Linked DNA regions of Tribolium castaneum. The protein of the gene in region 1 binds, or shares a complex with, the protein of each later gene. Links are inferred from orthologs where the notes say so. Each region holds a gene or a part of one and is shown in the gene's direction. Other genes may lie near its edges.

Region 1 (3,409 bases):
CAACGATATGTCTTTAGTTGTACGATATCTCATCAATTCGAATTCACCGTCAGGTGGAATAAAGCTAATGGAATGTTCGGTTTCGAATTTACTTAATTTCACGCATTGGTGGAACTGGCAATCGTCAATTACAACGACTGGTTTGCCAGACCGGGTCTGATCGGAATCAGACGTCGACCCTAAGCCCCCTTTGCCTTTGGCTTCCATCACAATCTTGTCGTTAATCCCGAACTTGCATTCGGGCATTCCCGACAAATACGACTTCATCACGACTTTACCGGCCACGTGGGCCGAAAGAACCTGGCCTAAAGTTTTTTATGAAAACAAATTCAGGAAAAAAAATTATAAAACCTTGAGGCGACATAAGTAGGTTAACATATTCCAAAACATCCAAAAACAACTCGTTTCGACGATACTTGATACCCTCACGCCTCCAACCAATCTGACCAGTAACCTGTGACGTAATCTGAGCTTGTTCTTCCTTAGTGGCCGATTTGATCCCTTGTTGGGTTATGAACGTTTTCAAAACGCCGGTATCGGTGTTTTGAGGGTAACCAAAGTCCAGGATTTCTACAATTTTCATGTAATGACCAAATCAATGCAACTGAACGATTTTACCGTCTAGTAATTCATAAATAAGAACGAAATTATTTTTAATATTCTCTTCAGAGATTTTCCCAAAATACGACTGCATGACTTCGATAATCTTCAACAAGAACTCAAAAACCATGGCGGCGTTGACATTTTGCTTTGTTACGGCGGCAATCCAAATATTAGCCCTCTGGAAATCAAAAAACACAATTTCGACCGAGACTAGACTCATTTGATACAATTTTGTGCAAAATTCGCAAAACAAGCAACAAAAAGGTTGTGAAAAAGTTGAAATCGCACCAGTTTTTGTCCAATTTTCAAAACCAAAATGTACCTTAATGTGGAAAAAGGACGTTCGTGCTATGTTTGTGACCGGAGAGCGGACTTGTTGTCGGGCATGTATAACATTAACCCGAAACGCATCGACCGCATTTCTGCCGATATCATCCCTGTAAACTCGGGAAATGAGGACTTCGCCCTTGTGGTTGTACACGAACAACCCCCCGATCATTCTGCCGGCTCAGCTCTCGCCTAATGACCTAAAACCAGGTGTAATCACTACAAATGCAGTTTTATTCACGCCGACTGAAATCGGCCAAAAATTGGACAGTTTGAGGGAAAACTGGTTATTTACCGAATTGTGAAGTCATTAGAGGCTTTTTACGCACACACTTTTGTGATTTAACGGAATTATTAGTTAAAGCCGAACGGTTTTTATTTTACTTGGCCATCATACACCCACTGACAACTTGTCACTGCGATAATCCAAAGAGTGTTTGGTTTCATAATGCGCTCGATAACGCTTCCATGTTAGCAAAAACACAAAAATTATTATTATCGCAATTATCTAATATTATTGACTAATGCTTAAAGGTTTCTACAATAAAATCGCAATTTTTTTTTGAAAAAAAGTCGTCTTTTGACTAAATTTAAATAGTGACTTTCGCTTTGTCTCCAGGAATTTGATTTGACAGCGTCCCAATGACATTTGTTTTTGTTTAACCTTGGAATTTGAGATTGAAAATTAAAAGTTTGCAGAAAAACAAGTGTGGTGTCTTCCGAACTCGCGTTATCACTTCCATGTATCAATTTTAAGTAATTAGGTTAGTGTAAAACCATGTCTGATCAACTGTCCTCACTTGAGGAAAATCGCCCTGAGACTCCCCCAGTTCGGGAAGATTTGGTAAGTTGTTTAGGTTAAATTGCCCCATTTATCGATTGCTAACTGTAGGTGAACACGGCTATAAAATTCCTGGAGAACCCCAACGTGCTCAAAACATCGCTAGGAGAACAACAAAGGTTTTTGAAACGGAAGGGTTTAACCGATGAGGAGATCAGACAGGCGTGCGAGAAATCGGGGGCTTACAAATACCACGAACAAAGAAATCGGACGCCGCCTCTGCCCCCAAGTTCCCTAATTCCGTACCCAAACAGTGCAACGGTCCAAATTAGTTTATTTGATAAGGTTAAAGAAGTTGTACATAATGTGGCCATTTTTAGTTTCGTAGCGTACGTCGTGTACAAATTTTACATGGTGCGTGTTTCCCGTGGTTAAAAGCCGCTATACCATTTTTTGCAGAAATTTATAGCGCCGTTTTTCTTCGGGAAAAAGAAGAAAAGTGTAGAGGAGTCGATAGATGAATTAGACAAGAGTTTTAAGCAATCTGTGAATGACTTAAAAAACAATTTACTTAGTGTCAAAGTAGAAGTAGATAAAATTAGTCAAGGGGCTGAGAGCAGCACGCAGCGGCAATTATCAGACTTGAAATCTGAAATTGCGACAGTCAAAGGCCTGCTCCTGAGCCGGAATCAATTTCCGCCGGTTTCCAAAAGCTCAGTAGTCCGTCCGTCGATACCTGCGTGGCAGAAGACTAGCATAAGTCAGGACTCCGACCCCGACTCAGACCCTGAGAGAAAAGCCGAGGAACTGATGGAAGTTGGGTCAGGATCAGGGTCTTCGGAACATGAACATGCAGCAAAAAATAGTGATTCTAGTCTAGATATAATGCAAGTGGTTTGATTTTTTCCGGACGGGTTTTATTGATTTTATTGCAGATCTTTCTCATCCAAAGATAGTGATTTTAGAAGACACAAATCCAAAGATGTTGACGATGATGACGACGACGATAAAGATTAATCTTCCAAAAACGAGGCCATTTAAAGTAGGAAACACTTGGTTATTAGGTTTTGCAGTTAGCTGACATAGGATTAGAAAAGAAGGGTAATTTTTTTGTGGTGAGAAAATATTTTTAACTCTGCCTTATGGCAGCAATAAAACTCTGGATTCTACTTAAATAGTTTTATTTCACTGTAAAAGGTCATTTATTAGGTACTTTGTTCCAAGTTTGTATAGAGTTACTGTACAGTTTAAACGCTAAAACATGTATTTACAAAGGTTAGGATTTGTACCTAGAAACTAACAATTAACTATTCCAAAACTTGCCGTAAGTACAACCTACCAGGCAAAAAAAAACAATTTTTTCTAAAGACAGCACACCCTATTTGACTATTCACAAAAGTGTGAAGTAGCACCTTATCTAGTAGTTTCAACAATAACATTAAGACAGCGTCACAATTTACAATTATTTACAAACCAAAACTGTTGGCAAGCTCCCAACGGAGTTGGCAAAGCTTACTTAAAAAAATTGGCCGCGTGAGGGCGCTTAAGTACAGTTCAACTGTAAATAAAAATTGGCCACGAAATGTGGTGTTCAACTCAGGCACCGAGTTTATGATATGACAATAATTGGTGCCAAAAATCGAAGCTTTGCCTAATTTTAGCCAAGCTGAACTACCTATATACATTATTATCTAATCT
Region 2 (4,381 bases), about 1.0 Mb from region 1:
AATAAAACTGAACATAGGATAATACAAATAATGTTATATGTATTCTGCAATGTTCAGTAAAATAAAATCCTTAGAGTATAATTTTTTCTAAGTGAGAACTTATAATACGGACGAAGTTTTTATGAATAATAAAGAAAGTTTGGTTTAGGAAAAGATAAAAAAAAGAAAATTCTTATTAGTGACCTTTTTATATGAAGATATTTAATGTATTTCCTTTGGAGTGTCAGACGTAAAAAGTCTTGTCTTTCTTTATATTTCATTTTTCAAATTTTTGTTTTTTCTGTTGAAATTACCATTTTTTCTCCTTTTTTCCACGAATATTTTTGTTTTAATTCCAATGAATTGTGCTTTTAGGATCAATTACATCCACTTGATGGCCCACTTCCGAATGCACGTGCAAATCAAGGACCAAACCAGCGCTTTCATTCGCGGCTTCCGCTCGATTATCAACCCCGACTGGTTGTCGCTCTTTTCAACACCTGAAGTGGGTTCAAACCGTTGAAAACGCTCTTTTAACAATAAATTTCCAGTTGCAACGCCTTATCTCGGGTGATAATGTCCCCTTAGACATGAAAGATTTGCGCAAACACACTCAGTATTACGGCGGTTTTCACGACTCGCACCGCGTGGTGGGTTGGCTGTGGGATATTTTAGAAAAGGATTTCACCGAGGAGGAGAAAGGAATGTTCCTAAAGGTGCCCCCCGTAATTTAAAGCCCAATTTTCCTAACTTAGGTAATTGCAGTTTGTGACAAGTTGTTCCAAACCGCCGCTTCTAGGCTTCGCTCATTTGGAGCCGCCCTTTTCGATTAGGTGTGTCGAAGTTGGCGATGATGAAGACACGGGAGACACGATCGGTATTTTTTTTGCAATTTGTTAGATTTTGGAAAAATCTGGAGGGGATTTCAGGAAGCGTCTTTCGGGGGTTTTTCACGATACGGAAAAAGGACCCACAGAATCGCTTACCGACGTCTTCCACTTGTTTCAATCTTTTGAAGCTGCCCAACTACCAAAAGAAAAGCACTTTGAGGGAGAAGCTGCGGTACGCTGTCACTTGCAACACTGGGTTTGAGTTGTCGTAATTGTTAGTGGAAATGGAATTTCGACATATGTGACACCCATATCAACCTTTTGTGTTTTAATATTACGATGATCCGTGTTTTTTTTCTCCAAGCCAAATATTTTATCAGATTAATTTATTTTAACCCAATTTGTTGACTATAATCACTTCCATGTTGTGATGTCTTTGTTGTATTTACTTATGTAATAAAATATATTTTAACGAGTTGTTTCACTCCCGGGGCTTCCCTCAATTTTTGGTGACTATGACATGTCACTATACGCACCAAGTTGGCGCCGCGTCAAGTCTTTTAAGCCAAACATTCGATCAGATTTACGTTATTTTAGCCAAATGTTGTGTTTAATTAACTAAATATTAGAAAAAAAGTTTTATTTATCAGTTATCACGTTTTTTGGTGATTGTGGCTTGCCACTGGTGCCGGTTGGCAGCCGTGCCAGTGGCCTTGTCAGTGTCACTTACGTCAATCTGGAATTTGTTTTGATAAAATGCACTTGGTTGTGTAAACTGGGCTAAAAACCGAAAAAATGGCATTTAACCCCTTGACCGAGGCCGAGTGCGGCCAGAAGAACCCCCTGGCCCGCCTGACGTCGCACCTGACCCACGATCATGCCTTCGCGGAGGCCCACGGGCATGCCTTCCCCAGCAGCTCGGACCAACTGGTCGAGCAGTTCCTGCAAGAGACGAAGTCGGTGCCCCAGAGCTTCCGGATGGACGGTAGGGCCCCCCCGTGCGTTAAAACCCCCGTAATTCACCTGTGACGCTTCCAGATTTGATGCGAGAAATGCACGAAATTGAGTCTCAAAGGTCGGCGCTGCCGCCAATTCCCGCCTCCACGATCAAGGACCAGATCCACGACGACGCCTGGGCGCAGCAGTACATCGACGACGGGAAAATCTTCAATGTAAATAGGCGCTGGTTGTGAGTTTTGCACTGTCATTTGTGTTCAAGGACAATGTGAACAGTGAGGCGATCTGGACGGAGATCCTCTCGCAGGAGCAGAACAATGCGGCTGTGGTGGACGACTGGGGCACTGATAATTTCCCAGAGATACTGCCAGGGCCCAGCAAGGTAAATGCCTCGCAGCAGAGCGCTCGGGAGTTTGTTGAGGCTGTTGATGACCCCAAATTTGTGTATTCGAAGGTCAGACGTTACGTCAGGGTTTGGGGACGGTAAATAATGAATAGGTTTCAGTTTATGAGATTCATGAAACAAGTCGGCGATGGTGATGTTAATTTGGAGGACGGGAGGCTGACGGAGGAAGAGGCGCAGTCCTGGAGCAAGGAGTTCCTCCAAAATAACAACGAAGCGGAGGCTGAAAAAGTCGCCAAAAAGTGGGAAAAGGATTACGGTAACCATCTTTTCCTTAAAAAGTTTTTATTTATTTTTTACAAAAATGTTAAAATCAGTAATAAACCAAAAGGCTTGAGCTAGGGTTTTGAGGTTTTGCAAATATTGGCGATTAAAAATTATCGATTATACAGAATAATATCATATATCTTAGGTAATGAAAAAAGACATCCAACTGAGTTAGAAATCGTTTTGATAAAAAATTGTTTAAGCCTTTTGTTACGAGATATAGCTGTTCAATTGTTAGATTTTTGAACTAAGTTTTTGAATGTAGTTAACATGATTACCTATCACTTTATACTTTCAGAACAAATTATCGATTTTTTTAATATATTATTACCAGAAAAAAAAATAGTACAAGGTAAGTAAAAACCAAAAAGCGAATTTTATTAAATTTCGAGATCATAAATTAAATAATTATCAAGGATTTAAATTAAACCAGTTTCTTTTTTTTTGTATTATTTTCTGTTTGTGTATTTGTTTTCCACATTTTATTCACATGAAATACAAAAAAGTTTAATTTCCTATGAAAATTTCATCTGGATTCAATTTTTATTTAATTGAAAAATACATTTTTTTAAATTAATTAATAGTTATTAATAGCGCTTTTATCTTTAAAATCTAGTTTTTATTTTAATTTTTATGTTCTTGACACTTGTTTACTTTCTTTTTGATAGTTTATTTATAAAAATAATAATAATAATAAATCAAAGCTTTTTATTAAATAAAATTGAACAATAATAAACAGATGAGAAGGCGCAGTCTAGCTTGAAGGTATTCAACTTACCTTCAAAGAAAAATTAACAGAAAATATAAAAAAATTAAATTAAAATAAAATAAACAATATAGAACTTGAATAAAAATAAAAATCGGAAATTACTTAAGAACTGAAAACTAAAAAGAAAAATCACTGCCAGTCTCTCAGGAACAAAGGCAAGAAGAAAGAATTCTTTAAGAAAATAAAAAAATACACAGGAAAAAATTCCTTTATGTTTATTATCAACATCACTTACCTAACTCAGTTGAGCAAAGTTAATTATTAAAAAGGAAATTTTTAATTTTACTCTCGAATGTAAGCATTGAATTTATTAAAACTTTCCGCTGTATTCGTTATTTGCTGTAATTACGTTGGAACCAAGCGTCATCCAAAAAAAAAAAAATCGCCGTACAAGTGTGCCATTAAAAAAATATTTTTTAATAACTCGAAACCTAAAAGAAATTTCAAAAAAAAATTCTTGAAAAATATCACATTTTAAAGTCCAAATAAATAAATACAGGCGAGTGATATAAAAAAGCTGTTTCTAAGATATGGATTTTTTGTTGTGATAACGCATTGTTAACAAACTTATCCGATTACACAACTGTGCAATTTTCGCTCAGTTTGTGAATAATGCTCTTATCCCACATGAATGTTAAATATTTAATATTAAGTTACAGAAGTCTTGATTTTTACGAGTGATATCAAGAAATTTTATTTGTTTTAATACAAAATGAATGATTAGGTCGAGAACTAGCCTTGAGCCCTAATTTCAGAAGACGATTTCAATTCCAAATACTGGAACAACCTCCAGGAAGAGCTCAAACAAACTCTAGAAGGCGCCGAATCTAGCGAAAACACTTGGGCGAGCGAATTCGACTCCTACTATACTGCCCCATACAACGACTATACCTTTACCGAAGAAAATCCCATGTTTGATATTCCTGACCCTTTACAAAGAGGCAAAAAACTGCTCGAAGACGGCGATCTGCCGTCGGCTGTTTTATGTTTCGAAGCGGCCGTAAAACAAGAGCCTGAAAACAGCGAAGCTTGGCTACTATTAGGCAAAACCCAAGCGGAAAACGAACAGGACTGTAATGCCATACCGGCATTGAAAAAGTGTATAGAACTGGAACCCAATAATTTAACGGCGCTCATGGCCTTGGCTGTCTGTTACACCAACGAGAGTTACTACAG
Region 3 (3,180 bases), on another chromosome or scaffold:
TCTCAGATATTTGTCAACGGATTTTTATGAAATTTAAAAAGCAGATATTTTAGAAGATAAAGATTAAAATCCAATTAATGCAAAAACTCAAGTCTTAAAAACGTAATTTTTACATGCCTTTTTAAAATGCTAAGCCTTTTAAGACTTATATTAAAAAAATTATCGTTAGTGAAAAATGCTGAAAGAAAAAACTCGTTCGTGGAAGACGTCTGTTTTGCGAGAAAAATGAGAAGCAAACTGTTAAACGTGGGTACGGATGCAAAAAAGAAATGTGTTTTAAAATTTAATTTTTTAGTTGAGGTCATTTTTTTGCCCCTAAAATATGTGCATTCTAAATTTCATAAAAATCCGTTGACAAATATCTGAGATATCAGGCTCGAAAGTCTTAGCTGAGACACCCTGTATACTTTTTTATGAATGGTTTTATAGAGAAGTGGACTTCGCTCTTTCCGGACGACCTTGAGCCAGGCCCGTATTTGCAAAAAGAGCGCCAAGATTCGCTACGTTGCGATAATAAATGTTACTCGTCATGTGCTGAAACGGTGTACGAGGCCCATGCCAATTCTTTCCCAATTTTGAAGTTTGGCAAAATTATTTAAAAAAAAACTTTTTTTTTATTTCTAAGTTTCAGTAAAACGGACAACAACGTTACTCGAATTTTTGTGTATTATTCGGGCAGGTTTTCAAAGTTGTACCTTCAAGACGTTGTCTATTACTGGTTCGAAGTTTTGAGTAATTGATAATTTATTATAGTGTGAAATTTTCTTCTAATTAGCAATTCCAGGCAATTTTGGCGGCATTTTTGGAATATTTGTTGGTTGGAGTTTGATATTTATTATACAATTGTCGGCCTATTACACGCGAAAAATCCTAGAGAAAGTACTTAAAACGTAACCAAATCATTTTTTGTGGAACGTTGGATGGACTTTACTTTATTTTAGAGTGATGACATTGATTTTAAACACTTAGATACGAAAAGTAGTAAGAAAGCCTTTTCAGAATACTTTGATTTTTTGCCCTGTTTTTAAAGTATATTTAAAAATTAATATTTTTTCAAAGATTTCGCCCTGTTTTTATATTGAGCACAAAAATGAATAAGGTTTCATCTGAGCCAGTGGCGGAACTAGGGGTGGGCTCATGAGGGTCCATATTTAGTTTCATTTTGTCTGCTTTTTGCTGTTGGATCTCAACCCACTCTTTTATTATTTATAAAATATATATTTAAATAATAATTTAAAATGTAAATAATAAATATAATAAATGATAATAAATAATAATAAATAATAAATAATAAATTAAATATAATTATGATATATTTGCTATTTATACTAACGGAATTAATCTTTTCGGACGTTACATAATTTAACGTAAATCCTTTTATTCTACAAACATTACCTGTATTACTCTTATAACAATAACAAATGCGTCTTAAAGAGTGTGAAGCGAAAAAATAAATTTTTATTTTCAAATTGCCCATATTTTTCTGTCAAAAACGGCAAGGTACCAACCACACAACAACAAATTATAACGAAAAACGTGGTGGTACACCCTTTTGTAGAAACCTGTAATTGATAGTTGAAGGGAATAGCGACAGGTGGCCTAAAAATCCCCAAATCACCTGACATTTCCCTAACCTCACTTTTGTAACAAATTCTTAAAGCTTCCCGTTTTATACCAATTTTACAATGAGCGAGTCAAAAAAGCCCGATTCGGCCTCAAAAGTGGACGCCGAGTTGTCCGAGCTCTTGGACAGTGAGTCCCGTGGTGTAAAATTCGTTGCGTAACTCCCTCATTTCAAGGTGCTTTGGAAGACTTCAAAAGCGAGCCGCCCAAAGACAGCAAACCTGCGCCCCCACAGGACGAAATCCCGGACGTTGAGTGGTCGGACGATTTTATCCGACAAGCCGCAGCTCAATTCGAGTCAAACTTTGCCAATTTGCTTGGCTCAAACCCTGACGGGTCCCAGTTAACCCCCGAGCAAATCCAGGCCAAGTTCCAGCAAATGGCAGAGACGGCGCAACAAGTCATCGAAAATCCGAGCGGAGACTCGGGTGATTTCGCAGCCACGATATCACAGACGCTCCAGGGGCTGAGTCAGGGGGCTGAGGGGCTCCAGAACCCCAATTTGGAGCAGGATATTATGAACTTGTTTGCGGGACAGGGGGACCAAAACGCCTTTATGCCTTTCATGCAAGGGATGATGCAGAGTTTGCTGTCCAAGGACGTGCTCTATCCGAGTCTCAAGGACATTTTAGACAAGTTCCCGGAGTGGTTGAGCAAAAATAAGGACAAGTTGAGTCAAGAAGACGCAGAAAGATACGAAAAACAACAGAAATTGATGGAGGAGATCTGTGCCGAGTTAGAGAAGGAGAAAGAGAGTGATAGTAGTGAGCAAAAGAAGGAGAGGTTTGACAAGGTCTTGAGTTTGATGCAAAAGGTGCGTTTTTTGTTTAATGTTGTTCCAAGAATGATTTTTCTCGAATTAGTTGCAAGATTACGGACAACCCCCGACCGATCTAGTGGGCGACGTGGGGCCCCCTTTGCCCCTCGAAATGCAAAACAACGCCGACCCCAATCAGTGCAATGTAATGTAATTGGTGAAAACACTGTTGTTTGTTATTTATTATTTAAATAAATTGTTTGGGAAAAAACCGCCATTTTGTTCACCCAATACCAACCACACAAACTCAAAATCACTAGTTTATTACAATAATTTACAACAAAGTTCGGGAAAATCAAGCGTCGGAGAGGGCGGCCACCCCTGGTAGGACCTTGCCCTCCAGTAGCTCCAAACTGGCGCCCCCGCCCGTCGAAACGTGCGAAACCTTATCCTCAGTCTTCCATTTTGCGGCACAAGTGGCCGTGTCACCGCCACCTAGAACACCAAATTTGACAAAAACCGCCCACAAAAGTGATTTAATTACCAATAATCGTGACACAGCCCCTTTGAGTCGCCGCCACGACTTCATCCATTATGGCTTTGGTCCCTTTTGCAAAATTTTCAAACTCGAAAACACCGGCTGGCCTAGAACCCATAGTTGGCCACGGTTGCTAAAGTCAGTCGTACCAACTTACCCGTTCCACACTATCACTTTGGCCCTCTGAATGGGGGCTTTGAACGCTTCGATCGACTTCGGCCCGATGTCCAGCCCCATCCAGCCGTCGGGGATCCCCGCCTCG

What was found.
Region 2: the proteins of Pex14 (region 1) and Pex5 are in contact, whole or in part, in an NMR structure (PDB 4BXU), measured with the Homo sapiens proteins. The link is inferred for Tribolium castaneum from reciprocal best matches to the Homo sapiens genes PEX14 and PEX5. Residues at the interface, in NP_004556.1 of Homo sapiens: Thr31, Phe35, Asn38, Arg40, Val41, Ser44, Pro45, Thr48, Arg49, Phe52, Lys55, Lys56; in NP_001124497.1 of Homo sapiens: Glu59, Leu62, Val63, Glu65, Phe66, Leu67, Gln70.
Region 3: the proteins of Pex14 (region 1) and Pex19 are in contact, whole or in part, in an NMR structure (PDB 2W85), measured with the Homo sapiens proteins. The link is inferred for Tribolium castaneum from reciprocal best matches to the Homo sapiens genes PEX14 and PEX19. Residues at the interface, in NP_004556.1 of Homo sapiens: Leu28, Thr31, Ala32, Lys34, Phe35, Asn38, Ser39, Arg40, Val41, Ser44, Thr48, Phe52, Lys56, Leu58; in NP_002848.1 of Homo sapiens: Gln67, Phe70, Phe71, Leu74, Phe75, Ser77.

What each region holds. Positions count from the first base shown.
Region 1 is NC_087395.1:22,142,431-22,145,839, forward strand, and holds Pex14 (peroxisomal membrane protein PEX14), read left to right. Parts: upstream 1-1,549; 5' UTR 1,550-1,708; coding exon 1,709-1,774; intron 1,775-1,822; coding exon 1,823-2,125; intron 2,126-2,170; coding exon 2,171-2,598; intron 2,599-2,646; coding exon 2,647-2,728; 3' UTR 2,729-2,880; downstream 2,881-3,409. Other genes in the region: AP-2mu (AP-2 complex subunit mu), read right to left, coding at 1-305, 352-570, 619-781, 926-1,102. UniProt on the Homo sapiens protein: Component of the PEX13-PEX14 docking complex, a translocon channel that specifically mediates the import of peroxisomal cargo proteins bound to PEX5 receptor.
Region 2 is NC_087395.1:23,163,099-23,167,479, reverse strand, and holds the start of Pex5 (peroxisomal targeting signal 1 receptor), read left to right. Parts: upstream 1-1,502; 5' UTR 1,503-1,604; coding exon 1,605-1,794; intron 1,795-1,847; coding exon 1,848-1,981; intron 1,982-2,028; coding exon 2,029-2,220; intron 2,221-2,271; coding exon 2,272-2,428; intron 2,429-3,960; coding exon 3,961-4,381. Other genes in the region: ubiquitin-protein ligase E3B, read left to right, coding at 355-484, 531-695, 745-856, 909-1,081.
Region 3 is NC_087401.1:15,465,561-15,468,740, forward strand, and holds Pex19 (peroxisomal biogenesis factor 19), read left to right. Parts: upstream 1-1,582; 5' UTR 1,583-1,685; coding exon 1,686-1,752; intron 1,753-1,799; coding exon 1,800-2,437; intron 2,438-2,486; coding exon 2,487-2,594; 3' UTR 2,595-2,653; downstream 2,654-3,180. Other genes in the region: pickpocket protein 19, read left to right, coding at 430-580, 632-732, 785-890, 942-969; Pgk (phosphoglycerate kinase), read right to left, coding at 2,736-2,875, 2,925-3,025, 3,076-3,180. UniProt on the Homo sapiens protein: Necessary for early peroxisomal biogenesis. Acts both as a cytosolic chaperone and as an import receptor for peroxisomal membrane proteins (PMPs).